4 linked regions of the Lepisosteus oculatus genome follow. The main gene of each other region encodes a partner of the protein of the gene in region 3 in a complex. Links are inferred from orthologs where the notes say so. Each region holds a gene or a part of one and is shown on either strand. Other genes may lie near its edges.

What was found.
Region 1: cdc45 (region 3) and gins2 share a complex: the UniProt entries of both Homo sapiens proteins name them as parts of the CMG helicase complex. The link is inferred for Lepisosteus oculatus from reciprocal best matches to the Homo sapiens genes CDC45 and GINS2.
Region 2: cdc45 (region 3) and gins3 share a complex: the UniProt entries of both Homo sapiens proteins name them as parts of the CMG helicase complex. The link is inferred for Lepisosteus oculatus from reciprocal best matches to the Homo sapiens genes CDC45 and GINS3.
Region 4: cdc45 (region 3) and mcm7 share a complex: the UniProt entries of both Homo sapiens proteins name them as parts of the CMG helicase complex. The link is inferred for Lepisosteus oculatus from reciprocal best matches to the Homo sapiens genes CDC45 and MCM7.

What each region holds. Positions count from the first base shown.
Region 1 is NC_090715.1:16,818,922-16,825,894, reverse strand, and holds the start of gins2 (DNA replication complex GINS protein PSF2), read right to left. Parts: upstream 3,011-6,973; 5' UTR 2,932-3,010; coding exon 2,842-2,931; intron 2,466-2,841; coding exon 2,351-2,465; intron 1,168-2,350; coding exon 1,068-1,167; intron 1-1,067. UniProt on the Homo sapiens protein: Required for correct functioning of the GINS complex, a complex that plays an essential role in the initiation of DNA replication, and progression of DNA replication forks.
Region 2 is NC_090715.1:12,071,768-12,078,985, forward strand, and holds the start of gins3 (DNA replication complex GINS protein PSF3), read right to left. Parts: upstream 3,012-7,218; 5' UTR 2,878-3,011; coding exon 2,707-2,877; intron 1,860-2,706; coding exon 1,626-1,859; intron 1-1,625. UniProt on the Homo sapiens protein: Required for correct functioning of the GINS complex, a complex that plays an essential role in the initiation of DNA replication, and progression of DNA replication forks.
Region 3 is NC_090717.1:1,234,180-1,241,855, forward strand, and holds the start of cdc45 (cell division control protein 45 homolog), read right to left. Parts: upstream 3,019-7,676; 5' UTR 2,868-3,018; coding exon 2,817-2,867; intron 2,052-2,816; coding exon 1,992-2,051; intron 760-1,991; coding exon 667-759; intron 13-666; coding exon 1-12. Other genes in the region: ufd1l (ubiquitin recognition factor in ER-associated degradation protein 1), read left to right, coding at 3,472-3,474, 5,102-5,234, 5,715-5,747, 5,911-6,032, 6,641-6,771, 7,437-7,509. UniProt on the Homo sapiens protein: Required for initiation of chromosomal DNA replication. Core component of CDC45-MCM-GINS (CMG) helicase, the molecular machine that unwinds template DNA during replication, and around which the replisome is built.
Region 4 is NC_090698.1:12,412,643-12,420,178, reverse strand, and holds the start of mcm7 (DNA replication licensing factor MCM7), read right to left. Parts: upstream 3,001-7,536; 5' UTR 2,738-3,000; coding exon 2,551-2,737; intron 747-2,550; coding exon 667-746; intron 110-666; coding exon 1-109. UniProt on the Homo sapiens protein: Acts as a component of the MCM2-7 complex (MCM complex) which is the replicative helicase essential for 'once per cell cycle' DNA replication initiation and elongation in eukaryotic cells.

The sequences.
Region 1 (6,973 bases), on a different chromosome or scaffold from region 3:
GTGTCCAGAGCTTAAAGGACAGTTACGGGGGCAGACAAATGAAAGCTTGCAGTCTTAAGATGCACGTGTGTTCCTCTTGAAAAACATATCTGAAAATTATATTTCTTTAAACCTTCTGTAATCCCACATGCCACTTCAAATCACAGCAAGGATTCAATAAACTGTTTTTGTTTGTTTCTTATGCAAATCGGTCTTGAACAAAGAAGGTATGAGGGAACCCAACACGAGTATTCAGAATCATCAAAGGCCCGGACACACTCGGCCCAGTGGACTTCTCCAGCACAAAGAGCGAAACAAACCAGAGGCCACAGGTGCAAGATGCAGGGAAGTGCATTTAGAGGAGGAGCATCTTTACCCAAAGGATAGCGTGAGCCTGGAGCAGGCTAGCCAGCCATATGGTTGAAGATCTCCTGGCTTTTTTGAAGAAAGGGCTGGATGAGATCCTCAGATCAATCAATTACAAACTAACAAGAAGGTTAGATGGGTTGAATAATCTCCTCTCCTCTGCAACAGTTCTAATGTTCTTCACTGGGACACAAAACTCACCTTTCGCGAGCATGAGGCCAAAGTTATAGGGTGGTGGCAAAAGTAGAAACTGAATGTCCTTGGTCGACCCCACCAAAATCCTGACTTGAGTCTGACTGAAAACTTGAAGACTTGCGGTCATTCAGCCAAGCAGCTCAACCGAGGCCAAGCACATTTCCAGGGAAGAACAGCAAACACTGCAGCAGCCCAGTGTGCACAGCTGGCAGAGACTCACAGCATTCACCGAGCATCGGGACAGAGGGGGTGAGTATTCGTGAAGTCAACAGATTGTAGTCTCCAATTTTCATGGCAGTTTCTGCTGATATTTAGCTTTCATTACCCAAAATATTACGTGTATTCAAATTGTGGTGAAAAACATTCGGTTTAAAATAAACGTACATACATACTACATCAGAAAGGAATGAATACTTGAGCTTGGCACTGCATGTTGCTCAAGCAAAGAGGAAAAGCTATTTCTTTAAAGCTTCATGACCGAGTAGGAAGGGTCTTGTGTCACAGGTCGAGAGTGCAGCGATACTCACTGGTTCAACAGTAACTTGGTCAGCTCCATGTAGTATGGACTGGGCATAGGGGTGAACATCCCTACTTTCCTCTCCTGCTCCCTGATCTCTTCCAGCTTCTCTGCAGTAGAGACAAGGGCTGACACTGAACACGCTCTCTCACAGCTAACCCCCCAAACAAGGCAGACAGCATGACCAGCTGCACCATCACAGATTCATTCCAAAGCTGAACGCCACGTTAGGTTTTATGGGACACAGGCATTAGGAGCAAATTTACATCTCAAAAAAGACATAAAGCTGCATTTACACATTAATGTCTTTCAATTGAATGTGGTTTTAAAATCCCATTCTATCTCAAACTGTTCTGGTAAACACAGAGTTATAAAGTCTCCCTATTAAACTGATTAAAACAAGCAATACAGAGTTGTCCGTTGCTGAGACTAGAGATACACAATCCTCATTATTACCAATCTGTCAGAGGCAATTGTTAATTTAATTTAGACAATATCTGGACACAAGATGGATGGACTATTCAGATTTCAAATACCAGAGATCTCTTTATTATGCCAGAAGCTATATCACCCAGCAATTCACAACTGACAACCAGCTCAGCAGGGGTGAGCCTGGCCAGTACCTGGATGGGAGACTCCTGGGAAAGCTGAGGTTGCTGCTGGAAGAGGCGTTAGAGGGGCCAGTAGGGGGCGCTCACGCTGTGGTCTGTGTGGGTCCTAATGCCACAGTATAGCGACAGATGGACACTAAACTGTAAAAAGGTGCCATCCTTCAGATGAGACGTAAAACTAAGGTACAAACTCTCTGTGATTAAAAAATCCCAGTTTCTCAAAAAAGAATAGGGGTGTTACCCTGGTGTCCTGGTCAAACTTCCCCCTGGCCTTTACCAGTCATGGCCTCCTAATAACCCCCCTCTCTGAACTGGCTCCATCACTCTGCTCTCCTCCCCTCTGAGAGCTGGTGTGTGGGGAGAGTACTGGAGCACTCCGGCTGCCGTCACATCCAGCACACTGGGCTGCACACCAGTGGTGGTGGAGAAGACTATTTACCTCTAAAGCGCTTTGAGTGGAGTATCCAGAAAAGCTATAAATTGTAGGTCTAAGGAATTATTAACTGAGAATCGACTAAACACGTTAATAATAACAGATGAACTACAAGGGAAAGACATTAAGTAATAAGTGGACAGAGCAAATTAACTGCAATGCATTCTAAAGGCTAACATGTAAAGGAAACAAATACATCCAGTGGCATCTATCCATCTTTTCATAACCGGACAAATTAGCTGTTCTCACCAACATCCATCCAGTCGGGGGGCACGATTCTACACTTCTGTCTCTGCTTCAGGTTGATAGCCAGCCAGACAGGCACATCCACGGGCAGACCGGGGTTGAAAGGACCCAAGTCCCCCTACCAGGACAATAAGAACTATTGACGCTTAAAATCAAAACAATTTTACATGTCAAAATTGACAGAGCTGTGATTCGACCGTCCCAAATTCGCATTTTGATTTAAATTCACTCGCTTCAGCCCGGTTTAAAATCGCGTTCTACAAACATACGGGTTTCTTTAATCTCGATTGATTTAAAGAAGGAATCATTACATTAACTGTAGCTATTTCACGTAGTTTGTGTCTATCATTATTATTACTGTAAGCAAAAAGAATACGTAAAGAGATGTTCTGTCATTTGCTTGTCAAATGTGTATCTAACCGGACGGATACTCTACACCACAATACAGATGCATTCTTAACTACACTGCTACGCCCTTTCATTTATGTACTTACCCCAATCAAATAGACTTTGTCTAGACTGAAATTCGGAATTATGGTCACCATCTCCTTTTCAGCTAAGAACTCTACCTCTGAAGGATCCATCCGCAAGTCAGACTTTTAAATTATATTTCACCAGCTACCACAGTCTACCGACAAGTTTCCCGCGCTGAATTCTGACGATGACGCTGTGACCCGGAAGTGAAGGTTTTTACTGTCGGCAGTCACGGGGGAACCGGAAGTCCGGCTCCTGTTGTAGCAGCCCTTCGATTTCGATTATTACCCGTGGAAACTCTTAGCTATTCAAACTTATATTATGTTAATTATAGGTTACTGTGAAGTTAATCATATTTTTTTAATTATTCAGACTTACGTTTTTATCATTAATAGTCACTATTAACATAATTGTATGTTTATAACTTTTATGTTATTGAGTTTTTCAGCATCTTAGTACGTTTAATAAATATTTGTTCATCTCCGAAACAAAGTTTTGCGTCGCGTTGAAAATTATTTGAAAACCTACCTGTTATACAGCGATAATGGTGAAAACCCTTTAATCTACTCAAGTGGTAGCCTGGGCATTTCTCCTAATTGTGCCCGTCACGTCTGTAGCTTAGAGAATTGTCCAGAAAAAAAAGATGCTAACTGGCCTAATGTTAAGATAAAGAAAATCGGGAACGTTATAGTAGAACGCGGTTGCTTTTTTAGACATATTTGCCTTTTGTGCTTCATTTACAAACAGGATAAATAACCCCAGACACTACATCATCCCAGCTCAAATTATCATGTCTCACCAGCAGGACAAATCATAACATATTCCCATTTTACAAGAAATCTCTTGTTAAAGGTGCACCGATGACTGTGCCTTGTCACGCTGGAAAGTTGTCAGGGTGACCTATAGCAAGGGACCCAAATTATGTTCCCAGGCTTGATCAGTGTAGAGCTGTGTAGTAAGACTTCCATCTCTCGCTTCAAGAGTTCTGTAGCAGCTAAAGGAGAGCTACCAGCTCCTTAAATGCTAATTAACCAGTTATTTAAAAAAGGAGCTGCTTGTAGCAATATTTTGGAAAGGACATTTTTGTTATAAATGATCTCTGTATTATTTAATTGAACACCACCTTTTTAATTGATCATAATTAACTTTTTCCAGGCCTTTAGAAATGGATTAATTAAATACTACTGATAAAGCCTGCTGGAATGTGGCTCTCTGGCTCTCCAGACCAATGGTTAGGGATTTCTGGCTAGATCATCAGACTTGGACTGCCCTATCAATACTAACAAGGCTTCCTGGCTCAGTGTCTTGGCCTGCATTTGACAGGCTGTTTGGCTGTATTGTCTTGTCAGACTAGAAGTTACTGGATGGTAAGCAACAGTTCACTTATTCCAGTCTTTTTTATTATTATTATTATTATTAAGGTTTTGTTCTCTTAATGTGTGGAGTATATTAGTAACTTTCTGTGACTTTCTTAATTACTTCATTACCTGTACCTAATTGGTTCACCTCACTGATAAGGTGATTTAGTGTAACTTGGTCAAAAGTACAGTGAATTAATCATCCATCCATCCATCTTCTAACCACCTTCTTCCAATACAGGGTCGCGGTGGAGCTGGAGCCGGTCCCAGCAAGCAATGGGCATGAGGCAGGGCACACCCTGGCAGACAGACACGCACTCACAGCAGGACCGGTGTTCCCAGGAGTCAGCTGATCTACCAGCATGTCTGGGAAAGGCATGCGAGGATGGGGGAACATACAGCTCCATGCACAGAGCACCCAGTCCCACACAGTGAGGCAGCAATGCTCCCCACTGCACTACTGTGCTGCCCACCTGGTCAAACTCAATGATGCAGAAAGCTTTTCATCTTTCTCTAAAATCCATACACTTTATTTTTCTAAAAATATACATGCATAAATAGTATATTAAAGCCAAGCGCTTTTTTGATGCTCAATGATTTTTAACATTTTAGGATTAAAAATATGCATCTTGCTTTAATTAGTAGTCTGTAATTACAGCACCTCAACAAATTACAAGGTATATCATATAAAGAAAAAATTAAAAATAACCTAGATTTTAAAAACATTTTATTAGTTCTAATTTACATTTTAAGATGACTGTGGTCTAAAACCTGATCTGGAAGATAAAACGATTGGACTTTATCAGATTTATACAGCAATTGGGAATTAAAATACCAGACTACAATACATGGGATTAACTCTGAGGTTATGAAATGCATATAAATTATAACACACAAAACTTAAACATTTTCTAAATTATTTTTAGCAAACCAATGGCTCCCAGACCATTTGAATATTGAATTGAATAACACTAAGGTTTTCAAACACAAGACTAAATATTTTATAAGGCTTCAACAACTTCAAACAGTTCAAAATCAACATCTTGTTGAGTTTTTCAGGGTCCAGAATGAATATGAATCCTATAAGATAAAAATCCTGAGCATTTCCATGCCTATTACATTTAAATGACTTTGGCAGACATACTGTACCACAAATTAGTAGACTGTCCTCATCTGCAGCTATTAGTCCAAGAAATCTGTTTTTTTTTTCATGCTGGTTATGATAACTATTGATACATACCCATACTATTTAAGGATCTTAGGAAATATTGCATTTTGAAGAGAATTGTGCATATTGTGAATTATCACTCTGGATAATAATGTTTCTTGTAGACATTCACATCAATGTGATAACATGGCTGTTCACATGTTGAGCTAAAAGCTCAGATTAAAACAAAACTTTGAACCAGCCTGCCAACTGCAAATTACACAGTTCATGATGCCAGCATTTGATTGGGGACAGGTGTGAAGTATCTGGCCAATAACTAGTTAACCGTTAAGTAGATAATGTTCACTGGCAAAACTGAAGTGATGACCTATGATGAGATGGAAGAGATGGCTTTTACAGTTTAGAGTAAATGGAGACTATCATTACTGGTAGTAAATTCCACACTTCTGTAGTTAATTTCCTTAATTACTCATTTTTCTTGTGTGTCCACAGTGATGGCCATGGACAATGCTGTCCTGTCAGGCCCCCTGTCTGAAGGCCGTTACCACAGAAAACATCCCCCATTCATTTCGCTCCACCTTTTCCTCAGCGCTGCATTCCCAAAGCCACCTCCGGAGCACACAGAATGGGAGAAGCTCCAGGAAGGTCAATAAAGAATTCTTCTAGCACAACAAAAATGTATCTAACTGTGGTGTTTTAAAATTAGCATTTAACTTGAAAGAAAAAAACAGGTTAAACAATTTCCTAAATTTAGACGAATCTGTGGTGCCAATTGCTGCAGCTACGTAATTCAGGTGAAACAGTTATGATGCTTAGGACTATAAAAATGACTGATTTTTTTAAAGAATTTGTATCAATTAAGTCTTCTAAGATAATGAAATGATGCACCAAAGATTCCACTCACGTTTCCTGGTTCTCAGTAGAAAGATCTATTTCCCTGTGGTCATGTGCTAGTCTAATAGACTAAAAAGTCAGGTCAATCTTTATATTCAAAGGAAATGGTCAAAAGCAGCATTTACATAAGTCAAAAATGACTACTTTAGTTTTCTGTATAGTCTGGTTAAAAGGTTAAAAAATGCAATGACAATTTTGATTCGGAAATACAATTTTAAACATCATACATGATGGAATTCTAACAACAAATGCTATTCCTAAACCTGGACAGGAAGCACTCAAGAATAGTTCTAGGAACAACATGACTTATACACACTAGGAAATCTAATTTACAGGCAAGGCTATCAAATAAAAAAAAATTAATTGTAAATTGTAATTTCAGGAATACAATTAGTCTACCTCTTGTCTTAATCATCTGAATCTGCACATTACCGGAATAACCATTTTTAATTAATTAATCCCTTCAATATAGTCTTTTAACTATTAATTACTAATGCCACTGCAGTACAGCAGTAGTGTTGCACCCGAACAGCAGTACATCACAAGTTTACACAGAAACAGCCATGAGAAACTACGACTCACCACGCCCGTGATTCCACATACACAGCTGTCTGAAGGATACCTGTTATTTCAATAGAAACCTGATTACTTTCCATCACATTAAAACTGAAGATGTGATACCGGGTACCCCTGCTTCTGGCCTCTTCTAAACACTCATTGTTTAGTCAGCGT
Region 2 (7,218 bases), on a different chromosome or scaffold from region 3:
TGTACTGAAGTGGCGCCATCTTGTGGTGGCTCTTGTGAAGTAAAATAGCCTGTAAAATTGTGAAGGCATACCTTGCACTTCTAATATACTGTATATAAATCAGTGGAAATATACAGGTGATCAAATGCAGTGCATTTAACATCACAGAAGTACAATTTCTAGAAAATGACACAGAGTGGGGTAAAATCTGTTCACAGAATATCAGTGAACTATTACACATACCTAGCATTGAGATTCTTACCCAAAACAGACAGACACTTGCTATGTAAGTGCTGGAAACCTCAGCCAAAGCCAATAAGAATGAATTGTAAAGCTTTATTCATTACAAAACTGACAGTTATTAGACTGTTGGTCTCCCACAGGCAGGCCCTGGGGACCACGGTCAGAGTACAGGCAAATGCAGTTTCTTCCCTTCGACCCATTCAGCTCTCATCCTGGCAGTTAAGGTGATGCTTATATAAACGTCTTTCTTTAACCCTGCTGCTGAAGGTTACTTCAATCATCAAGCCTTCGCTGGATCGAAGAAATAAGGTTAAAAACGAAGGAGGCATTAGAGCCCACCCTGTTCGACTGGCTGCTGGAGATCACGAGTCCAAGGGTCTCTCCTGGCTGCATCTTGAAGACTCCCAGGCAGGGCTGGGTGATTTATATCAACTCCATTTCAATTTATTTTTATGAAAAGTATTTGAATTAAAATATTTTCTGTCCCTTATACCTTCTCAGGGGATATTTAGTCGTTGGTCTGCTTTGAAATACTACGGGACCACTAGGATATTTACCTCATTTAGAATAAAATCTGATAAAAATATTTTTTTTTATCATTGACAAAAGTATTGAACCTCCCCCAGGGAGTGGCCCCCAGTAACCAGGCTCCTTCAGACACCCGCCACTCTTTGTGTACAGAGGTGCTTCCCACCTTCTGTTCTAAAGGCACACCAACAGGACCTCTTTTCAGGTCCTTGAAGGGCAGTCTTGCCCTGTAGGGCATCCCGAGGCTGCAGATTCCCCACAAAGCTGTTTTAAAATGACTAGATATCCTTTTCCTGGGAAGCATTTCAAATTTTGTTTATTCTGCAATCATGCGACGGATGTAAATTGGTCACAGGGAATAACTCAGAATAGGCAGCAGTCAGAGGACATTTTACACTGAGAGTTGTTCTGAATTATTCATCATCGTGAGTTCCATTCATTTTCAGTAACTGCTTTAAACTTGCAGATCACGCCTAACCTGGCACGTATAGGGCACAAGGCAGGAGTACACCCTGAACAGGATACCAGTCCATCACACGCCACATACAAGTACTGCATACAGTCTATTTTAGAGATGTCATTTAACCCAGACAGCATGTCTCTGGACTACGGGAGGAAACATGCACATCCACAGACAACCCAAACGAACACATGCAATACTGCAGAATGCAATTTTATCATTAAAAACAAGGATATTAAAACTGGGGCAGTATAGTGTCACACCTTCAACAATAACTGAAGTGCATAGCTCATGCAATAATGCAAATATACTCCCTGCATTAGTTACTGTTGAAAACTGCATTTCAGACACCATGGCAACATTCTCATGACTGATGCACAAGGTTATGGGTGTGTGCATGATCCCTGCCCCTTACCTGCAACACTGTCTGAGCAATGTCGGGGTTCTCCGGGCTGTCGAAGTGCAGCAGCTGGGAGCCCAGGCCATAGTAGTAGGGCCCCATCTTGTGCAGGTCCACCACGTTGGGGTCTGCGCCGAACACGGTCCTCCAGCCCTCACGGTACACCTTGGGCAGGTCCACCGCCACCACCCGGCGCTTGGAGTCGTACAGGCCCTTGGCCAGCCACAGGGGCATCTCCATCTTCGTCCCCTGGACCGGACAGACACCGGACAGATCTAGCGCTGCACACTCTCTACAGCCAGGAGCTCGGAAAACCCCCACAAACCACATTTCTCCTCAAGACTGTGGCGTGGAAATGTACAGGTCGGACAAGTATGTAAGAAGGCCTTGAAAAAGATTAAATTAAACTTCCCAAGATCTCTGTCTGAACCAATTTCAGTACCCAGCAACAATCAGTAGAATATCAATATGAAATCACCTTGTCGTAAGTTTTAAAACTCTCACTAATAAATATTCATTTCACAATCTTCCCTAGTTTATAGTTCCTATCACCTTTTCATTCGATTTCGCTTAATTTTGGTACAATGTTTCAACTCTTCCTTAAGGTGAGGATAATAAAACATAAACGTGCTTGTCAAAAATATTGACTACTAACATCTCAAAGACTCAATCCGACACAGAGCGCCAGGATCGTCCTGTAACTGACTGGCACTGAGGTCTATGTACGCGGCCGACCCCCTGCTTAAATTCTGCAAGTTCGGAGTCTCTAAATCGAGGGTCAACTGTACGAGTACATAAAAAGAAATTACAGGTGCGGGATTAAATCATGTCATTAGTACAATTTCATATGTATCTCAGTGCCAGCGCCTGATCAACATATTCAACATGTCTTGCAGCTATTTACTGTACTGCATTTACAGCATGAACAGCTCGGGCAATCATGTGCAATAAACACGGCCGATCACTGTCCTTCCCCCTCATAGAAATGTCAACACAGAGCGCTAAAACAATGCACATGGCTACAATACCGGTCAGATTTGGGTTTAAATACTGTTTTAAACGGTTTTTGTGGGATCAACGCGGTTCTCTCGCTTACCTCCTGGATGTCCCCGGTGTCGCCGGACTTCTCCAGGAAGCCCAGCCGGGGGAAGGCGGTTTCAGTCCGGCACGGCAGCTTCTCTTGAGAAAGGAGAATGTCGTCGAGCGAAAGAAAATTATCTTCCATCCCCACGCCGGGCGGCACTGGCGTATAAGATTGGGTCGCCATTCCGAAGCAGTTATTTTGCAGCTTGTGAGGAAAGTCAAACTTATCAACAAACCCAAACCCCAAGACGATCTGCTTTGGCGCGGCGCTTTGAATGGGCCGCTATCCCCGCCCCCTCAGACAGCAGCAGTGGAGCTCCGAGCGCGCCGGCCGACGGATGGCTGAGACGACCTAAAGTGCAGCACTGAAGGCGTTTACAAATTCAGACTGCTGACGAGGCACGCATGTCGCAAATAATACAAGTAGTTGTTATTGTTGTTATTATTATATACCGGAAATACTATAAATTATCTCAAATTGTCCAAATATCCTTCGTCTTATACATTTTCCAACAAAAACACAACAATAATCAGCAACCAGAAGTCAGTAGCATAGCCCCCTGGCCAGGCAGCGATTCGGCTTATATTAGGTTTGTAGAAGTGCAATTATTTTACTTTGAACTCAAATAGTATGGTTGTATTTTTATGGTTTTATGTAAGTAGCCGATAAAAACTGAACTCAGCGACCAGTGTACGTTTTTTTAGATATTCCATTGCATTTAAGATGCATGTAAGAAACTTAAAACTTCAGAAAGAATACAAGATATCGGAAAGTGGCCGCAGAGAGTTCTGCACTTTGAATTGCATTCTGGGAAATAGATGAAGCTTTCAGACCAGTACATTCTGTGACTACCAGGCCAGTAATAGTCAAGATTATTTCATTTTTTCCTCCAAGGCACAATAAACCCTCCAGCAACAGGAGGCTGGACATGTCCTCTCTTGTCACGGAACCACACAGGCACCTTTTCTTTCAGATCAAGGGGAGGACCCTTTCTTCTGCACCCCAATAAATAGGACATTCTGGTGCTGGGGGGTGCTATCTGTTCGTATTTTCTCTCTATGTTCGCATAGATTTCCTCTGGCTGACCTAGACTCCTCCCACAGTCCAGTAAATTAATTTGCATCTTGGTAACTTGGAGCTGGTGAGAGTGTGCGTGTGCCTTGCAGTGGACTTGCCTTAAAAAATGAAAGGATGGAGTGATTCCCTTGTAAGGCCCCTTTTAAGGCTGTGTTTAATATGTGGTGTAACTCTAACATCCCTTTTTATGACAAATACGGAGCAATTCGGAACAGCACACACAAGGCGCCTGACCGCCCCTGTTGACGAACTGTTGTTGTTAAAGTGCTCTGCACTACACCTCACTGTTTCAGTGCCTTCAGTACAGGCTACCCAATCTCTCTAATTTATAAATAAACAGCCACAGCCATTCCAGCAATCTGAAGAATGGCGCCTGTACAAGTATGGATGTCTTTACACTGAGAGGGTCTTCACTGTGATTGCTGGACAGAGGCTAGAATCACGTTGAAGATTTCCAATTAAGGTGCCGGGAACCACGCTGGAGAAACATCTTTTAGGTAGATTTATTTCCGCTGTTTAGCACGGTCTTGCAGGACATTTTATCCTTGCACAAGCTGCACGTGCCCAGCAGTAAAATGATTGAATGAGTAAAGTAGGAACAGACCACGGCCTAGCTTTTATGGCAGAACTGCACAAGAACAATCACACATTTAAATGACCAAAATTCTTCCTCCCCTCCTGTTTCTGTTAAACATTATTGCTATATGATTCATTGAGTTTCAGCACTTTACAGAAACATAACCTTGTTTGTTTCTGCCACATGAGCTGTCCACATCTTGTCACGAAAGGCCTTCAATGGCTTTGTATTGTCCCGTGTGATCTTCCTTGCTGTGGTGCAGAAAGGTGCCAAGCATTAGCTTGAAAAATACAAAGTACCTCCTTATTCTAGAATGTATGCAGAAATCTGTTAGAACTTGTAGCTCTTATATACATGTCTGCCATTCATAGATCCACTTTGTGCTACACAGATCAGACCCTCACTGTTGCCTGTCACAACACAAACAAATGTAAATAGAGAATTATGGTTCAAATTAGATCTAAAGCTACAATACCACTGGATGTAGTTTTGTGCAGTCTCCAGATTACATGCATACTCTACAGCCACAGTACCTATGATATCTGTCTATAAAAGAACTAATAGCTGTAGTTGCAGGTTTGTCCACTGTGAGGCTCTGTTTTGCAGGGATTGGTGTACGTATTGCAATTGCTTATAAGTGGTAATGGGGTACTTTTATACCCTTTCAAGTGGTGACAATGTTGCTAGTTTCCCTTCTGACAAGGTCTGCAATGGTACAGAAATAAACAGAAAGGAAATGCACAATATAAAAGACTACTGAAGTTTCAAAAACATCAAAGTTAATGAACTAATGCAGAAAGCCATGAGTGTTTTTGCATATTGATGTAAGTATCTTCTTAATGTTAATACAATAGGTCTTTGTGGTGCTGTAAGTATTTTTAATTCAATGTTACTTCCTTACATAATGTTGTTTGTCCTACACTACTCTCTTGTTTCCCCATTGATTTTTTGTCTGTGCTGTGGTATTTCTTAAAAGCACAGAAAAACAATACGATACTGGTGAAGTACTCTATAGCCCCATTACATAACAGTACTAATACAAGACAGCAGTGAAGCACAACACCAATACATCACTGCATTAATGAAACACAGCACAGATAAAGCACAAAACCGATTCAGCACCTCACCAATAAAGTCCAGCACCAACACAGCACTGATACAAAACAGCACTGATAAAATTCAGCACTGCTACTGCACAGTATCACTTCAATACAGCACAGTACTGGTAAAAAACAGCACTGACAACATAAAGCACAGATACAGCCCAGCCCTGATGCAGTGCTGATGCTGCACAGCAAAACTACAATACAGCACAGCAGCCAGTGGGTCAGCAAGTGATCAGTCGGAGATAATTTGCGACTGTGTTAATGACAGCTGGGCCATAGAAGTATGATTATACTCCCACACCCCTGACACTCACACTAAGTGTCCACTGAGGAAGTGGTCTGAGGCCCAAGCTAGGGAGGAGGAGGGGCTACCATGGAACAGGGGGTGTTCTTGACCGATATTCCTAGTTTAATTGGGGGTGGGCTATTTCCAGAACTTGAAAAATGCGAGGAACTGGGATCAGGCTGTTTACCAGGGGGTTTGCGTGTGAGATATTAATTGGATACAGATGTTGCCTCCTGGGTAAAGCATGGGTATGGTTTGTTCAGATAGCCAAGGCTGGTCGCCTTTGCCACCTGTGCTCCGGTTAAGCCATAATTATCAAGGTGATCTTCAGTACCTGGGATAATTAAACAATTTGGAATCCATTTGTAGACAATTCATTGGAAATTTTAAAAGTCCTGCAATTGTCTGGATAGGATGTACCAGGGTTGCTTGCTCTCATATAATGTAGGCTGTAGGTACATTTGTACACACTTTCTTAAGTCAATTTTAGTTGTAACAGCAGTTGTGTTTTACATTTGTACTTGCTGGACAGCGTAATCACAGACTGGAAAAAGCATATAAAATGATTTTAAACTGCCCACAAGAAAGAGATGTGAAATCTGGATATTTACTGTGTGGAAACATTAAAAGGTAAAGACTGTGAAGCATATGTATTTCCTTACAGAGTTACAGTGCTTTTCATTTGAATTACTATTTGCACTTTTTTGCACCTAGTAAAACATGGGGTGAACCTGTTATCCTTGAAGGATTGTCCTTGAACCAGGTCTCTCCCAGTCCCAGGCCTGGCAAAGCAGTATGTTCAAATAACAAAAAACAGTGATTATGTTTATAAACTATATATCCTCAAAGGGTTTTTGATGGATTCTTGGAAAGAACTATGAGGTCGTTTAAGGCGTCCTGATCTCGGGTTCACATAAATGATTCGTCAATTATTTTTAGAACTAAGATTTCGCAATACGAGACGCGTTGGATACTGGCGTCACTCCAAAATCCCTCCACGATTTTGGAGATCCGTTTTCAGAAACTATCGTCTGTGTACGTCTTGCGGCGAATAGGATCCTCGGTCCTCTTCCTGACTCCCCCCACCGCGCCAAAACTCTTAGCTGTGAAGTCGTTACCAGACGCAGAGCAGACGGCTGTTAGCGGATGCCCAGCAGTGACACGGTTAAGCGTCTGCCTTTTCTATCTCCACGCTTTTAATCCGCGTATGCGCAGTGAGCGCTTCTATTGTCTCCGACCAGCAATGTAAGGAGAAGCTCGGGGACCTTGCGAGCATGAGAGCGGAGGGGAGCGGCACACACTGACCCGACAGCGGGGGCATAAAATAAATCTGAGACCGATACACGCTGTAGCAGGGGAGCAGGGATACCGACTGCTGCGGTTGTCATGGTTCGCTGAACTGAGCAACACTTGTGAAAAAGGGGAAAATCCTGCTGCTTTTCTGAGTTTTTCCCCCCCTGCTTTTTGGGTGGCGGAGG
Region 3 (7,676 bases):
AAAGTAACGGAACTGCGAGGCAACACAAAGACGAGGCTTGAGCACCCCAGGGGAAAAACTCAAGACATCAAAGCCCATGCGTTTGGGCAAGGAACGGGCTCCTATCAGGATTCAGGATCTGTGCTACCAGTAAAATTCTGACTTTTTAAAACACATTAATGAATGTTATTGATAAAAAGTAATGTACTGTAGGAGTTTTATGTATTTTTGGGCTAATGCTTTTATCTAACGTTTTTCAGACCTCAGCTCACAGCTATGAATCCTGCGACCACACACGGGGGAGAATAAGGAAGTCAAGGCAGACTCCTCCCACTTCCCCACCTTTGAGACAGATGGGATTAAACACAGTACGCATCCCTCATTGACAGAAAGGGGCACTGTTTTACAGACAGGGTGACTAATCCCACTCAACTGTATGTGCTACTTGAGGAATCGGCTGGCGACGTGACCCACATTCGAACCCAGGATCGCAGTAGCCTGTTAGTTTTATTACAGTTTATAGACAGGTTTCCTCCCATTCATCCCTTACAAATGTCAACTTCTGGTGCAAAACATCCAGGAACAGCTACCACCAGAGAGATCCTCAACATCCCGCTTTTTAAAATAGGAGAACACAGTAAATACCACCCTGTCCTCACAAACTCAGCATTATGCCACGATCCTGACCTGCTCCTTGTGCTCCAGAAAGGCTGTCTCCAGGTCCTGCCAGCCCCTGACTGGCACCAGCGTGTACTGAACATGGTCACAGTGGAACAGAGCCTGAAAGGAAAAACAGCACGCAGGTCATTTTCTCTTTAAAGACCTCGTGACTGGGAGGTTCCCCACTCAGGTCCCGTGTCTCAGCCACACAGTTGCTACAGTCTCCCCCCGAGCAGGGCACCGAATCGCCCTGTGCTCTGTCCTCCGGACATGGCCTCGTCTGGAGATCCCGTCTTCAGCGATGGCAGCCTGGACGGGAGGCGGCCGACTCCTGACCTGACAGCGTCCGCTGAGCAACACGGAAACATCCTCAGTGTGGAAACAACTGGACTTTTGGAGAAAATAGTGCAGGATACCAGCTGCCCAATAACGGCATCAAAAGCCAAAGTCAGTGACCGTGCAGGCTGAACAAAGTCTGACTGACCAGGGAACTAAATTTACCTCCCAACTGATGAAACACCTCCATCGGCAGTTAGGGATTACGTCGATAAAGACCCGTCCTTATCATTCACACACAGACTGACGGGTTGAAAGTTCGTGTCAGATGCTGGAAAGGATTGGGGGAGATGGACTGGGACTCTTTCTTCTATTTGCATTTCGAGAAGATCCGCAAGGCAACAGTGACAGATCACAGATCCTACAGCGGGCGATCTGCTGGCTCAGGAGTTAGCCTGGGAGCCTGAGATTGAACGGTGGTGACATGGCATTATTTGTCCAAAACCTGTAACTCACGCCCAGCGCGGTTCGCTTTGTGTCCAAGGAGACTCTTGGGTTTCCAGCTGTCCTGGCCCGTTATCAACAGTTAATGGCTCACTCTGTGAGGACTAGCACATCCCTGTGCACGCTTGCGTGATAACAACTGACCTACGGCCTCCGTGCTTCTCAAGTGAAAGAGATCAGACTTGCAAAGTTCAGTGTTACAGTACCCAATTACTGCGCCACACTGCTTTAATAAAGATGAGCTAAATTGATACTCTTGGATCTCGCCTTTCTTTCCCTGGGCTTTGAATCCGATTTCGCACAGGTGCACTCAGAACGCATTATTAGAGCATGGACTGCCAGATCTCTAGATCATAGATCTCCAGAGCCATAACTGGACATCCTTGATCTGGGATGTCAGCAGGAAAAGCAGTAGCCAGTATGCAGCAACTTTTATATAAAGCACGTTTCCTGACGAAGGACTCTTTCTCCCCTATATGGTTCTCAAACAGGCTCTAAAGAGGATAACGTCTACAAAAACACCTTGTAGAGGACACTTCTCAGAGAACGCTCCTGCACTCTTAAATACGCACCTGCAGTATTTTACAGGCGCACAGCGCGTCAATGTCCGAGGAGACCAGGAGAGCGACCCTCTGGAGAAACAGGGAGGGAGAGGATCACGGGTGGGGGGAAAAACAGAGAAAAAATATTAAATCTGTGGCCGAGCTGAGCTGAGGATGCGGCTTTCTTCGGGCCGGCCTGGTGTGGGCCCCGAATAAAGAACCTAGACCTCCTATTCTTCACTATATTGAGGAAATACAAGGCTACACCTGTCATTAAGTTTCTATGCACTGTATATAATGGAAGAATAATGCTCTGTAGCAAGTCAGCTTGATGACGGATTGACTTTGCCAACGTCGACCTGATCATGGGCCAGGCACTGATCTAACACAGAAGACAAAACACTTGAAAAAGGAAAAACAACAATAAAATATAAAGACAATTACAGAACACATCTTCGCATGAAGCGACGATATTTTATTAACACCTACAGATGTCATATGTAAACACTCACACGGAACACGAAGGTAAATAACACCAAACACCTTCCTTCTATTAAAATAGAAAAATAAATCGCCCTCTCGGTCGCCTGTTTAAACTGCCGCCCTAAAAAGATAGTGCAACATTGTTTTTCTTTGGGCGAGTTATGACAACCCCTGAAAAAACAGGCAAACTAAGTATCCAACGTCTGCTAAAACACCCAAGTATAAATATGGAACTCCTGAAGACCATTAACTGGCACTAATACCCTTAATACCTCTCGAATTCGTTACAATACACCGCGTTAAAACGAAACCCTCACGTTTAATAGTCTCTCTTCGATAATTGAGCACTACGACACAAAGGGATCTTTTTACCTGATTCACAACAACATCGTAGAACTCCTTCCGAATATCAGACACGAACATTTCCAAACCCCTTTCTATCGACGACTAGGAATAAAAAAAAATAAAAATGACCTTTTAAATAAATTAAAAAATAACTCGTACAAACGTATAAATTGATTTAAAATACACCAACTCCTTCAGAGATACAGAATCTTCCGTTCCTTGTTAAAAACCTGGCGCCAAATCAGTTTGATGGACTCCTGTTTCCTATTGGCTTGTAACAGATCGATCTAGCCAATCAGAGTTAAGATCCTTCAGCTACTCGTCGCTGATAGGTTATTGGAACAAGCCAATGGTTCGCCACCACAGGTAGACGATGCGCCATAGAATTTTACGCGGATTGGTGTGACGTCACGTCAAAACAAAACTTTAGACCAATCACTTACGTAGAGGCGGTGTACTGTTAAATGATTGGTTATTGACTTTGGAAACGACGTGGGGATTGGTTGTTGTTTCTCCTCGGGTCACTTCCCTTGGCGACTATTTACTTCCCGGTTACGGAACAAACTCCTCTTAATAATCTTCTGCTATTAGGAGATGGTCGATTGTAGGTTCACTTTATTCTTCTTTGGTTGAAACCATTTGTTTTCATTAAACATCGTACCCTAAAGAGTAAGAGTTCATCATGGTAAGTACAGAAGGATTGGTGGTTTTGTGTTTAATACGTCGCATATTGAACTACAGCGCCAGAGCTGTACAGAAAGAAAGATGCACCGTCACTGTTACAAGTTCCCGAGATGTGGACAGATTTGTTAATAAACCAGGCGTCGTGATGACAGCAGACGTCTGAAGACGAGTTTATTTTCTCAAGTTCACATAAAGATGTAAACACTGGAAAGACCACTCTTCTTCGAGCGACGTTCCGCCCTGTGCGTTGTGGCGTAGGTGTAAATATCAAGATAGGTGTCATCCTCTCTGTCTGCACGTAAATGAGAACAGCAGTGTTTGGGTTGCACCCGCGGCGGAATGGAATAAAGGTTTTTGGAGACCCTGAGCAGCAACAGAAAGTTGACATCAATCTGCCAGGGACTGACTTCGTGCTTTTGACGACCAAAAAAATAGGTCGGGAGGGCTGCTCGGGCCTGCGGGGAGATACCACCCCAAGAGCGGTTATAAACGGGGGCAAAACTCTGGTGCCCTTTTACCTGATGGTGGGGAGAAGCAGAGGCAAATCGAGTGCTCCTGCCCCAGTTGTAGAGCCCGGAGTTTCAGTCAACAGAGCCTGATTACTGATCAAGCCAGTTATGAACTCAGTCAAGAAACCTGGTTTCTAGACTGAAAACCAGACGTCTGGGTAGATCTCCAGAGCCATAACTGGACATCCTTGATCTGGGATGTCAGCAGGAAAAGCAGTAGCCAGTATGCTGCTCCTTTTATATAAATCACATTTCCTGACGAAGGACCTGACATTCTCCCACATGGTCCAGGTCTGAAAGTTGTGCTTTTTGTGCGAGAGCAGAACAACACCAGGGTGCCTGTATTTGTAATGGCAATAGGCTGTAAAATGGCCTGCAGCTATATCACTCTGCAACTCACAACAGGTTGCTGCTGGAAGAGGTGTTAGTGGGGCCAGCAGGGGGCGCTCACCCTGCGGTCCATGTGGGTCCTAATGCCCCAGTATAGTGACGGGGACACTATACTGTTAACAGGCGCTCTCCTTCGGATGAGACGTAAAACCGAGGTCCTGACTCTCTGTGGTCATTAAAAATCCCAGGGTGTTTCTCGAAAAGAGTAGGGGTGTAATCCTGGCATCCTGGCCAAATTTCCCATTGGCCCCTACCAGTCATGGCCTCCTAATAATCCCCATCTCTGAATTGGCTTCATTACTCTGCTCTGCTCCCCACTGAGTGCTGATGTGTGGGGAGCGGACTGGTGCATCATCCAGGTGGGGCTGCACACTGGTGGTGGTGGAGGGGATCCCCGTTACCTGTAAAGACCTTTGAGTGGAGTGTCCAGAAAAGCGCTATATAAGTGTAAGCAGTTATTATTATTATTATTATTATTATTATTATTATTATTATTATTATAATAAAAGACAGGAGCTCCAATGACAGTCCAGGTCTCTGCGAAAATATTTTAGATCTGAATGGAATCTCTGAAAGTAGTATTTGGAGCTGAAGTTGATTTCAGATTGGTCAGAGAAGTGTGAGTGGAACCACGCTGTATACCTGTACAACCAGCTGTCTCCACACCTATTGAGATGAAACCTTCGTTGTTGTTTTCTGGGGGCTGATCGTTCTGTCCTCTCATTTCAGTTTTCCTTCAATATGTTTGACCACCCGATTCCACGGGCCTTCCAGAACCGGTTCTCCACACAGTACCGCTGCTACTCCGTCTCCATGCTGGCCGGGCCCAACGACCGCTCCGACGTCGAGAAAGGAGGGAAAAGTAAGAGCAGGGGAGGCTTTGCTGGGTCTCCTGAGATGTCGCCCGGTCCTCAGCGTGGGGTCTGGGCAGCTGGCTTGATGCCACCCATTTAGAACGCCAATAGGGTGAAAAGCTCAGTTTCTGACAGGCTTGCTGAGCAGCTGTACTGCACTGTAACATCTTGCCACAGAACATAGCATAATATAAATGTGATACAGTATATGACATTATGTCATAAGTTCAGGTAGGGAGCTGCAGCAGGATGCTTAGGCTGCAAAGGAACAGGTAAAGGTTTATTCCCTGCTGCAAAAAGAACGTTTTGCCTGTGGAGCCTTCTTCTTCCTCAGCTGAAGAAGGCTCCACAGCCAAAACTTTGTCTCACTTTTTTCTTTTCAGCGAGGAAAAAAACGTTTACCTGTTCCTTATTATGTCATAATGTAGCATAGTAAAAGAAATGTATTTCAGCAATGCTAAGCTTTTGTTGTTCTTTTTTTGTTCTAGTTATAATGCCTCCATCTGCGCTGGACCAGCTCAGTAAGTACGCCAGTGACAAAATATGTAATATATAAAAATATGTTCTGTGTTTGCCATGTGCGTCTGTGTTGGTAATGAAGAACTAGCAGTTTCGTCTGGAAAACAGATCCGTAAGAGCCTTGCTTTGTCGGGCACGCACAGTTTAACTCGAGTCTTCCTTCAGGTCGTCTCAACATCACCTATCCAATGCTGTTCAAGCTGACTAATAAGAACTCGGACCGCATGACGCACTGCGGAGTGCTGGAGTTTGTCGCGGACGAAGGAATCTGTTACTTGCCTCACTGGGTGAGTGTCCCCTTCTTAAAATGTTTTAATAAAATATGTAACTTTGCTTTGGTAAAGCTATTTCTGTTTGGTAAAGCTGAAAAAATATATTCCGCTTTAAAATCATCTGTATTAAATAGTATTGTTAATAGCTTTTATTGTGTGAATTGAAAGTCTTTTTATGTCATGTGACATAACAAACAATGTGAGAGACATGTTTGCATGAGCTATTGCTGAGGGTTCTTTTCTGAAAGAGCTGGTGGAGATCCTCAGATCAGTCAGTGATGAAATCTAGAGGCTGGATCAGCTCCACTGCTTTTTCTTATTTGTAACCTTTCTCATGTTTTTACTCGGGTATTGAAAGTAAAAAACTGTAGGTGAACGTTTATAAAATGTCTGTTAAAGTAAAAGGGGTTGGTTTTATTGTCGATCTGGCAATTGGAGTAAAAGAGCATACACTTGCATACTTTTATTTATAAAGCCCCGAGAACTGCTTCATGTTGCATGGTTACAGTGAACATTGATTGTGCCCAGGCAGTAAGAGCTGGGTGATTGATTCAATGAAAGCTGCTGACTTGGTTGCCTTTCCTGCCCTCACTTATTTGTCTGCTTGGCCTGTTTTCCTTCAGATGATGCAGAATCTTTTGCTGGAGGAAGGAGGTCTGGTCCAGGTGGAGAGTGTGAATCTCATGGTCGCAACGTACTCAAAGTTCCAACCCCAGAGCCCAGACTTCCTCGACATCACCAACCCCAAAGCAGTGTATCCTTCCAGTTTCAGACATGGGTTCAAGTACCACTAAGGCCTGGAGAAAGATCCTACTTAAAATGACAACGCTTTCCACAGGAGTAATTCCACAGAATATTCCTACAGAGCAAATACCTTTGGATAAGATGACAGGCAATTCATTCCTTGGGCGGAGCGGTGGCACTCTGGCTAAGGATCTGCGCCTGTGGCTGGGAGGTTGCCGGTTCAAATCCCGCAACCGGGAGAGGAATCCTACTCCATTGAGCTGTATAAATGGCTGACCCTGCGCTCTGACCCCCAGCTTCTCCCTCCCTGTCAAAGTGTCTCATGGAAAGTAAGCTGGGGTCTGCAAAAAGACAAATTCCTGATACAAGAAATTGTATATGGCCAAATGAAGTGATCTGTTCTTATTCAGACAACATTGCTGTAATTATTCCTGTGGACAGCTATGGACTCGGCTTTTGAATCGTGGAGCAGTTCTAGACTTCCTGAACCTTCAAGAATTGGCAGTTTGGGATAAGATCTCTTCCCAGAGAGATCTCACACCCGAAGAAGGCTCCACGGCCGAAACGTTGTGTTTTCTTTCTTCTCTTTTCAGCAGGGAATAAACCTATTGCTTGTTCCTCTTAAGTTATTTTTCCGCCATTCATGTTTCCTTCACGACACTTCCACTTCTATAGGTTAGAAAATGCCCTGAGGAACTTCGCTTGCCTCACGACTGGTGATGTCATTGCAATCAACTACAATGAAAAGGTAAAGAATTTGTTTTTTTCTTATCAGACCTGAGGGTATTGCAGTGAAGTGCATTCCATAAAATGAGATCTTTGAGCGAGGAGTTTCCCAGCAACCAGATGGGCAAGATAGGTTGAATGACCTCTTCTTATTTAAGATAAGATCACTTTATTAGCCCTATACAATTT
Region 4 (7,536 bases), on a different chromosome or scaffold from region 3:
CGTAGCGGCGCGTGTTCTCGCACACGCTCTCCACCAGCTCAGGGTCCTCCTCCCCGACATCGTCCAGGTCGATCACCAGGGACACCTGCTCCCTGTGAGCCACCGACACCTGGAGAGGGAGGGAGAAAAGGACAGGGGGCACTGAGGCACGCACAGGCAGGACTGCTCCAAACACACGCCACACAGCAAGCACCGAACATGCTTCCAGATCAAGGGGAAGTAACGCACTGCTGCTTCCTCCATTAGAAAAACTGTTCAACTGCAGTTCAATTGTACTCAACAAGTTCTGCAGATCATATGGGCAAAGGGGAGAGGAGAAAAAAACCCCAGTTGGGGAAAGGAAGCCTCTGGGGGGCCCTGGACTGCCTCCTCCCCAACTCCAGGTAAATAAGATGTGGATCTCACGGCTGTCAAATTTAAACACATTTCTGATGACCAAAGCAGAGCACGTAAAGGTCACAGGAGACAACTCCACTCAGGCAACGCTCCAGTGCAAGTAGGGGGAACCCCAACCTAAGCAGATGGGACACAGGGCTGCCAGTGCAGGTAGGGGGAGCCCCAGACTAAGCAGACAGGACACAGTTCACGCGCTCCAACAGCTAATCCTGATTAGCTGTACAGCATGCCGTGGACGGCCACATCCATCCCCACGCCCCGAGCCCTCACCAGCTGAACGCCGTACTTGAAGACCTTCTTCCCAGCGTCATCCTCAGTGTAGAACTCCTGCAGGAACTTCCTGCACTTCTCTGGAGGAAGACAAGACACAACCTTTAAAATGCATTTAAATGCAATCATGACACTTGTCTGGCAGGACTGAAAACAGAAAGCAGCAGGCGTGGCCTCAGGCCTTGCACGACAGCATCACAACTCAAATTCGAAGTTCACAGTACTTTCTGAAAACCCTGTCTCACCAGAGGCAGGACTTCAGGGCTGGAAAACTAACTGTGGGTTAGAGGCAGGGGCAGATCTGAACTCTTGGGGGCAATTTTGGAAGAGTGTTACCCTGTGTCCCAGCCAAAAGGGATTTTCCAGCACTGCTGCAGAGGTTAAAGAAGCAGACAGAGAGAGTGGGGTCAGTGCGAAGGAGAGACACTGAAGCCACACCACACAGCTGGGGCACACGAACATGTTCTGGCATCACTATACACCCGTGCGGCACAGCTCTGAACGCCTCTATTGGATCAACAGGTCCTCCACAGGGACGCAGAGGACCAGGCCTTGTGAACAGGCCCAGCTCCCCCCGCCGCCAGCGGCCTCTCCTCCAGCAGGGCCCCGGACAGCTTTCTAAGCCTTTAATCTTGAAGACCACTAATCTGGTGTCAGGCGACGGGACCAGCCCACAGCAGGCCAGGCTTCTCCACCCCACACTGCAGACACTCGCTGGCTCCACGCACAGGAGCCCCCCAGAACTGTCCGATCGGGCTGGCAGAGCTCACGTGCCATCGCTTTCTGACATTCCAACCCTGCTGGCTCCAGAGAGGGTCCAGCATTCACAGCTCGAGGACGCCCATGCTAACCACATAGGCCTCCCTAAATCATGACACCATGCTGGGCAGTTGGACAGCCTAGACAGGCAAACTCATCACAGCAGTGCTGCCGAAAGCACAGCTCTCAACTCACAAAACACAACCGCTATCGCACACGACACAGAGTAGCGGCGGCGGCGAAACGCATGCTGACAACGCAACATCGGAAAACCGCGCAGAGGAGCCACAGGGTACACGCGTGGAAGCGGCTCGTGCTGGCGCAGTCGGCCTTGAGTGACAGCCAATCCGCGCACCGCTCCAGCTGTAAACAAAACCAAGAGCACGTGACCTCCCCTCCCCCTCCCCCGTGACACTCCACTCTACAGCGCTACCGCTGCTCCCAGCTCCCACTGAACCGAAATCACGGACCTTCAGTTCACAAACTCAAGAGACTGCTCCTCTGCGCGCCCCGGAAAATGATCCCCTACATGCAGTGGAGTCACACATCTTTTTAATATCACAGACCTGGATTTAAGTTTTCTGCGTGGACAAATTACAATGTCCACTAAAATACAACGCGTTCGCGGCACAAGTGTTTCTGAAAATAAGATCTACATAGGCAGGTTTCCATATGAACAAGTCCACAGAAAAGTTACAAGACTGCCTGTTAACTACTCTAGAGTAGTACAAACTTGAACGGCGCCGTGCATTGAGCAGGCAACATAAACACTAGTTTAAACAGTATTTATTCATAATTAAAATGTCAACAACACAGCCCGCCTGTCAAAAAATGTCGAGTCTCAGATTATCCCCCGGACGAAATAATTCAGCGAAGCCTCGGATACACACCCTCACAATCTTAAAGCTCCACTGCGCGTCTCCAGAAGACCCCCACCATCACTACCAATGGAAATTTACCACGAGAAGCCACCCACGCGCAGCTTTCACCCGTTCATTTCACTTTCGGTTTTAAAACAGCCCAACTAGACTCACAAAGACAATCCCGCAACGGCAGCTTTCAACAGAGCTCGCCCGCGGAACAAAAAAAAACACCCACACGCAGGGACAGCGAGGACCTCCCCACCCGTGTCCGCGCTGATCTCTTTGTTGGAGAGGGAGTCGATGTCCACTAGTAAACAGTGCCGCACATGGCGCCCACGAACTCCAATCCACGGCCGTTCTTCCGTCTTTAAAACTGAGCCTGAACTCGGATCGGGGAGGGAAGAGAGCCCACCAACACCGGGACAAACACACACGCGGACCTCAGACATTGCAGCTTCATCAGGAGCGCGGTCGCCGAACTCGCAAACCACCCCACGGCCGCCGCACGGAGCTCGGCTGCCCGGCACCTCCCTCGCCGCGCTTCCTCCGCCCGCCCAGCCGGCCGGCCGGCCGGGGACAAGGGCGGCCCCGTGGCACCGAGCTCTCGCCGCGACTCGGGGCTCCTTCCCGGCGCTGCTCCCCACGCCGCGCCGCCGTCTCCTCACTCCTGCTTTTGTAAACAAAGAAGCACATGGCTGCTCGGCCTCGCCACCCCCTGCGGGGCTTCCGCGATCCCTCCGCGCGTCAAATAGTGCCCGCTCCCCGTTTCATCCAAGAAAACATCACACCAACCACGACCACCACCCCCGCGTCTCAGGCCTCCCTCGCCTCACCCCGACCCTTCGCGCCACGTAATCCGGGAAAGAAAAATCAAGTTCGCAGGAGAATCACACCCTTACGCGCACGCACACTGCACTACAAACCCCTGCTCCACTCCGGGCGGATGTGGCCGCTCTGCGTGCTGAGCCTTTCACGACAGCGAGCGCGTCATCACCCGCCAAAGAGCCCGACGCGTGACGTCAGAGGCGCAGCTGCTCTCGAGCGTCGCGCGCGCGCGCGCACGCCAGACTCCTGGAGGTGGGGTCGCGTAGCAGGGGTCGCGCGCGCCTGGCGCGGTTCTCCACCAGGAAACAAAAGCAGCGGCCGAGACGCGACCCCGCCGCTGCAGAGAGGCAGCTGGAGCACGACACACCTGCCCACTCCACCCGTCTCCAGAATCTCTCCGCTTCCTAATCGAAAGTCTCGTTCAGGTTGCGTAAGAAACTCGGTTGTTGAAAGGCGGTCTCCAAGACGATAAAGCACAAATCCAAGAGCTCCAATTAACCCTAACTCTAAATTAAATAACTGAGACCCATAACGAATAGACTCAACAAAAGTTTAATTTGATTTCTTTCTGGTTCATTCCTAAACGTAGTAAGTTTCCTAAATGCAGTAAGGCGCCATCCAGCCATTAACAAAGTTAATGCGGTTAAAATCTCCAGCCTCCGAGAAGGAGCCCAGTGTGGGCCGGGGGTCGGGGAAGGAGCTCAGCTGCAGGTTTGGGGGACCCCAGGACCAGGGAGCCCCCAGAGTACAGTCCAGCACATGCGCTGGTGTTAGACTCAGACATTAGACCTGCCTCCAGCACCAGGAATGCTCGCTCTCAAGGCAGGGACATTACAAAGCTCCGAGCTGAAAACTTGGTCTAATCACCTGAAACAACTGGAAGAGGGGTCACAGAGTACCTGTGCTGGGGTCTCCCAGTCTACCCAGCTGCAGCTGCCAGTGAAGCGGAGAGCCGTAGTGAGGAGGCAGCCTTCAGCCTGGGCAGGGCCTGGAGAAGCCTGCCTCCACCCCGTCACCTGTCCCGAACCCCAGCAAGGCGCAGGGCGGCACCCCCCCCCCACCCGCAGATGTACCCGTGTAGATGGTTCGGAAGGTCGATTCGCTCGGTCTCTCAGGTCCGTCAGGCAGGCAAGACGAGTCGAGCCAAGCGGCTGGAGACGGGAGAGGGCTCAGTCGCGCAGAAACCGAAAGCAGGAGAGTGGAAACCGGAGCCGAGTGCGACACAATGAAGTGAAGCGAACAAACTCTCTCAACAAGGAAAACACACGGAGCTCTTGTGTTCGCTGTACGCAGGCTTGGGAAAGAATTCTGCCGTTTAGCTTTTACAAAAACTGGATATAGCAATAGGAGGAACGCATAATGATCGTTTGCAAGGTTCAATAATGTACACAGTTTTCAGCTATTCATGCAAATGTATCCTAGAGTAAAGGAAATGATGCAAAGGAACAAGTAATAGGTTTATTCCATGCCGAAAAAAAGAAGAAAGAGAACAGAACGTTTCGGCCGAAACGTTGTGTTCTCTTTCTTCTTTTTTTCAGCATGGAATAAACCTATTACTTGTTCCTTTGCAGCCTACGCATGCTGACGCAGCTACCCACTGAAAGAAAATGATGTCCTGTTTTATGACTTTCAATAATCCCATACAGCTTCAGCCAACAACCTTGACTTGAGGTGTCCTGAATAAGAATTTAAGAATTGTCATGTAACTTATTTTCTTACTTTTCCATAAACAATGTGCACTTTGGTGAGATGTACATATTGTAAAATAATGTCCTTTTTTATTTAATATCTAATCAACTAAGAGAAGAGATCTGAGGTAATTCAGTATAGTTAAATGTTTTTTTAAATATTTTACTCATGTTTTGCTGCTCTGTACCCAGAAAAGGCTACTGTACTTCACTAACGGACTACAACCTCATTAACTGAACTGTCAATATACATGCCCTCTGGGATTTCTTTTATAAAAACAATCTTTCCATCTGGAAGAAGGGAACTCCCAAGATGACCAATTTCACAATCTCCTGTTCCATTTCGCTTCACATATGATGAAATCTAGATTCAGTAATGATTTCTCAGCTTGTGGTGTTCAGTGGTGCCGTCATTGGGTGTAAATATGTGAAAGGGACTGATCTAGTTTGTGAAAATAATGTTAATGCAAATACATTCAGATGAAATACAAGCTACTTTGTAGTTCATCTGGGTTGGGTAAACATGTACTGAGCTCACTGGACCAGAGAGGGTCCGAGACTACGTGTCCTGAGAAAAAAAAGAGAAAGATCTTATCAACAACAGTGATGTGCAAGAATAAGTGTTGTTATTCTACTACAAATAAAAGTAGGTTAAAAATGCATCAAACCTTTTGTGAAATATTTGGATACTTTTTGGGCACATCTGACTTTAAACACATTTACCCTCAGTTTCTCAGAGCATCAATATTTGTTCTTGAGGTACCCCAGTATGCTACCTCTTCTGATTAAAGGGTCCTCCTAAGTCAGTGGTACCTCCTGCAGGCCTAGGGGTCCAGAGCCCTTCGGGTCTGACAGATCTCTTTAGCTGGGAGATGCTCAATGTTACAATCAAATCAAGAATGAGTTCACACCTGTAGCTGAGAGCCGTTCCGAAATGAGTTTGCAGGCCAGGCCCACAGCTGTCCCCCAGTCTCACACCCCACACCCGAAAACAAGAGTCGCAGCTCTCTGCTCTCTATAGCAGAGTAGCCACAGCAGGCTGAGCAGGGCCCTGCATAGTAATGCAACTGAAACAGTTCAGTCGTCCTGCACAGTTCCTTTGGTCTGAGGCAGGAGTCGAGCAGATCAGCAGTTAAATTACTTTTAAACAACAAGCAGGATCCTTGAAACACAGGATGAGGCCTGTGGCCTGGATGTTGCTGGTTTGAACCCGGGACAGAACACTAGCGGAGCCTGACTGGGTTGGCCCATGATCTGACAGGGGGGCGTTTCCAACAGGTCCTCATTCATTACATTGACATCAGTACTATCAGCTCACACACAGCACAGCCTATGATAGGTGACAGGTCAGAGAGTTCCAAAGCCAGCCCCGTCCTTAAATGCTCCCAATCCCGAAATCTAAATTCCTCCAAGCCTGTCCTGGAAAGCCACTCTGCCAGCAAATCGGCATTGGTGCTGCCTCGCTAGCTCAAGGTCCAGGAGCCAGCGCCACAGAACCTTCTCCCTCACTGGGCACTGACGAGCCAGCGATCAGCAGGCCCTGAGCAGCACCCCAAACGCTGTGACCTTTCACATATGAACTCTGCCCTTTGCCTCCCCGCTGCAACTCTGAACACAGGCATGGCCATACACAAGGGTGACCAGACACCTGCTGCACCCAGACTCCGGGGTTTGCCCCAGCACCAGGTGGAGAAGCTGGTTCCCATTTCTTCACATGGGTGGAATGGCAGTAAAAACAGACATTTTGGCTCATCTGATCCATCATCACCAACTGATTCGGATCAGAAAGCCTCCTGGAACTAGATCTGTGTCTCTGTAGTCTTGCAGCCAGTACTGGAGTCCCCAGCACGAACTGCCTCTGGCATCTCCCCCTGGGATGGTTCAGATGATCTAGTGAAACAGCTCAGATCTCTGTGGGAGCTGGAAGGAAACTGAAGCACCTGGCCAACACTCAAGAACCTAAACAGAACATGCAAAGTCCACACAGACAGGCCCCAACAAACCAGAATCGAACCTGGGACACCGGAGCTGTAATCAGCAAGTTCCTGTGCCACGCCTTCAGCATCTGAAACAGACCGACCAGCTGGGCAAGGAGCTGTGCTGTAGCTATGCTGAAGGCAGGAACTGAAACTTCCTGTTCAAGATGCAAGAGTCTCTGTCTTCCTAGTCTCCGGAATAGGAAGCACAGCTGCCTGGAGCGCACACTGCACAGCCAGCGGCCCATCCTGTACAAAGCCCATCTCTCTGAACGTGCTGTCCCGCCTGGCTTCAGCAGTGCAGGGTACAAGCAGGACGGGACGGGACAGGAAGCCATCACAGGACCTACAGGCGCCCTTTCGAGAACGCTCCGCAAACTGGCGAGAAGGAAACGAAAACGGACACATCGCCCACGACCGGCATCCGTATAACGCGTAGGCCCGGCCGTCGGCACTTCCCGCAACCCAGCGGGCCCGTCCGCTGCGTCCGCCGGGGTTAAAGGTCGCCCCTCCCCCCGCGGCCATGTGCGCCTCGCGCTGAACTCTTTGTCTCCGAGTTCCATCCGGGTCGCAGCCGGGAGCCGCTGCGGAGCCCACGGCCACGACACGGAGTTCGTGCAACAGCTGTTGCTTCACTAACGTCACGTCAAGCACGGTCACCCGAACGCCTCTGGCATTTTCACAGTCCTACAGCTGAACGGGACACAGACACAGCTGCCCAGCCCTGTAGTTTAATGTAAAACACCGAGGCGGATCGGC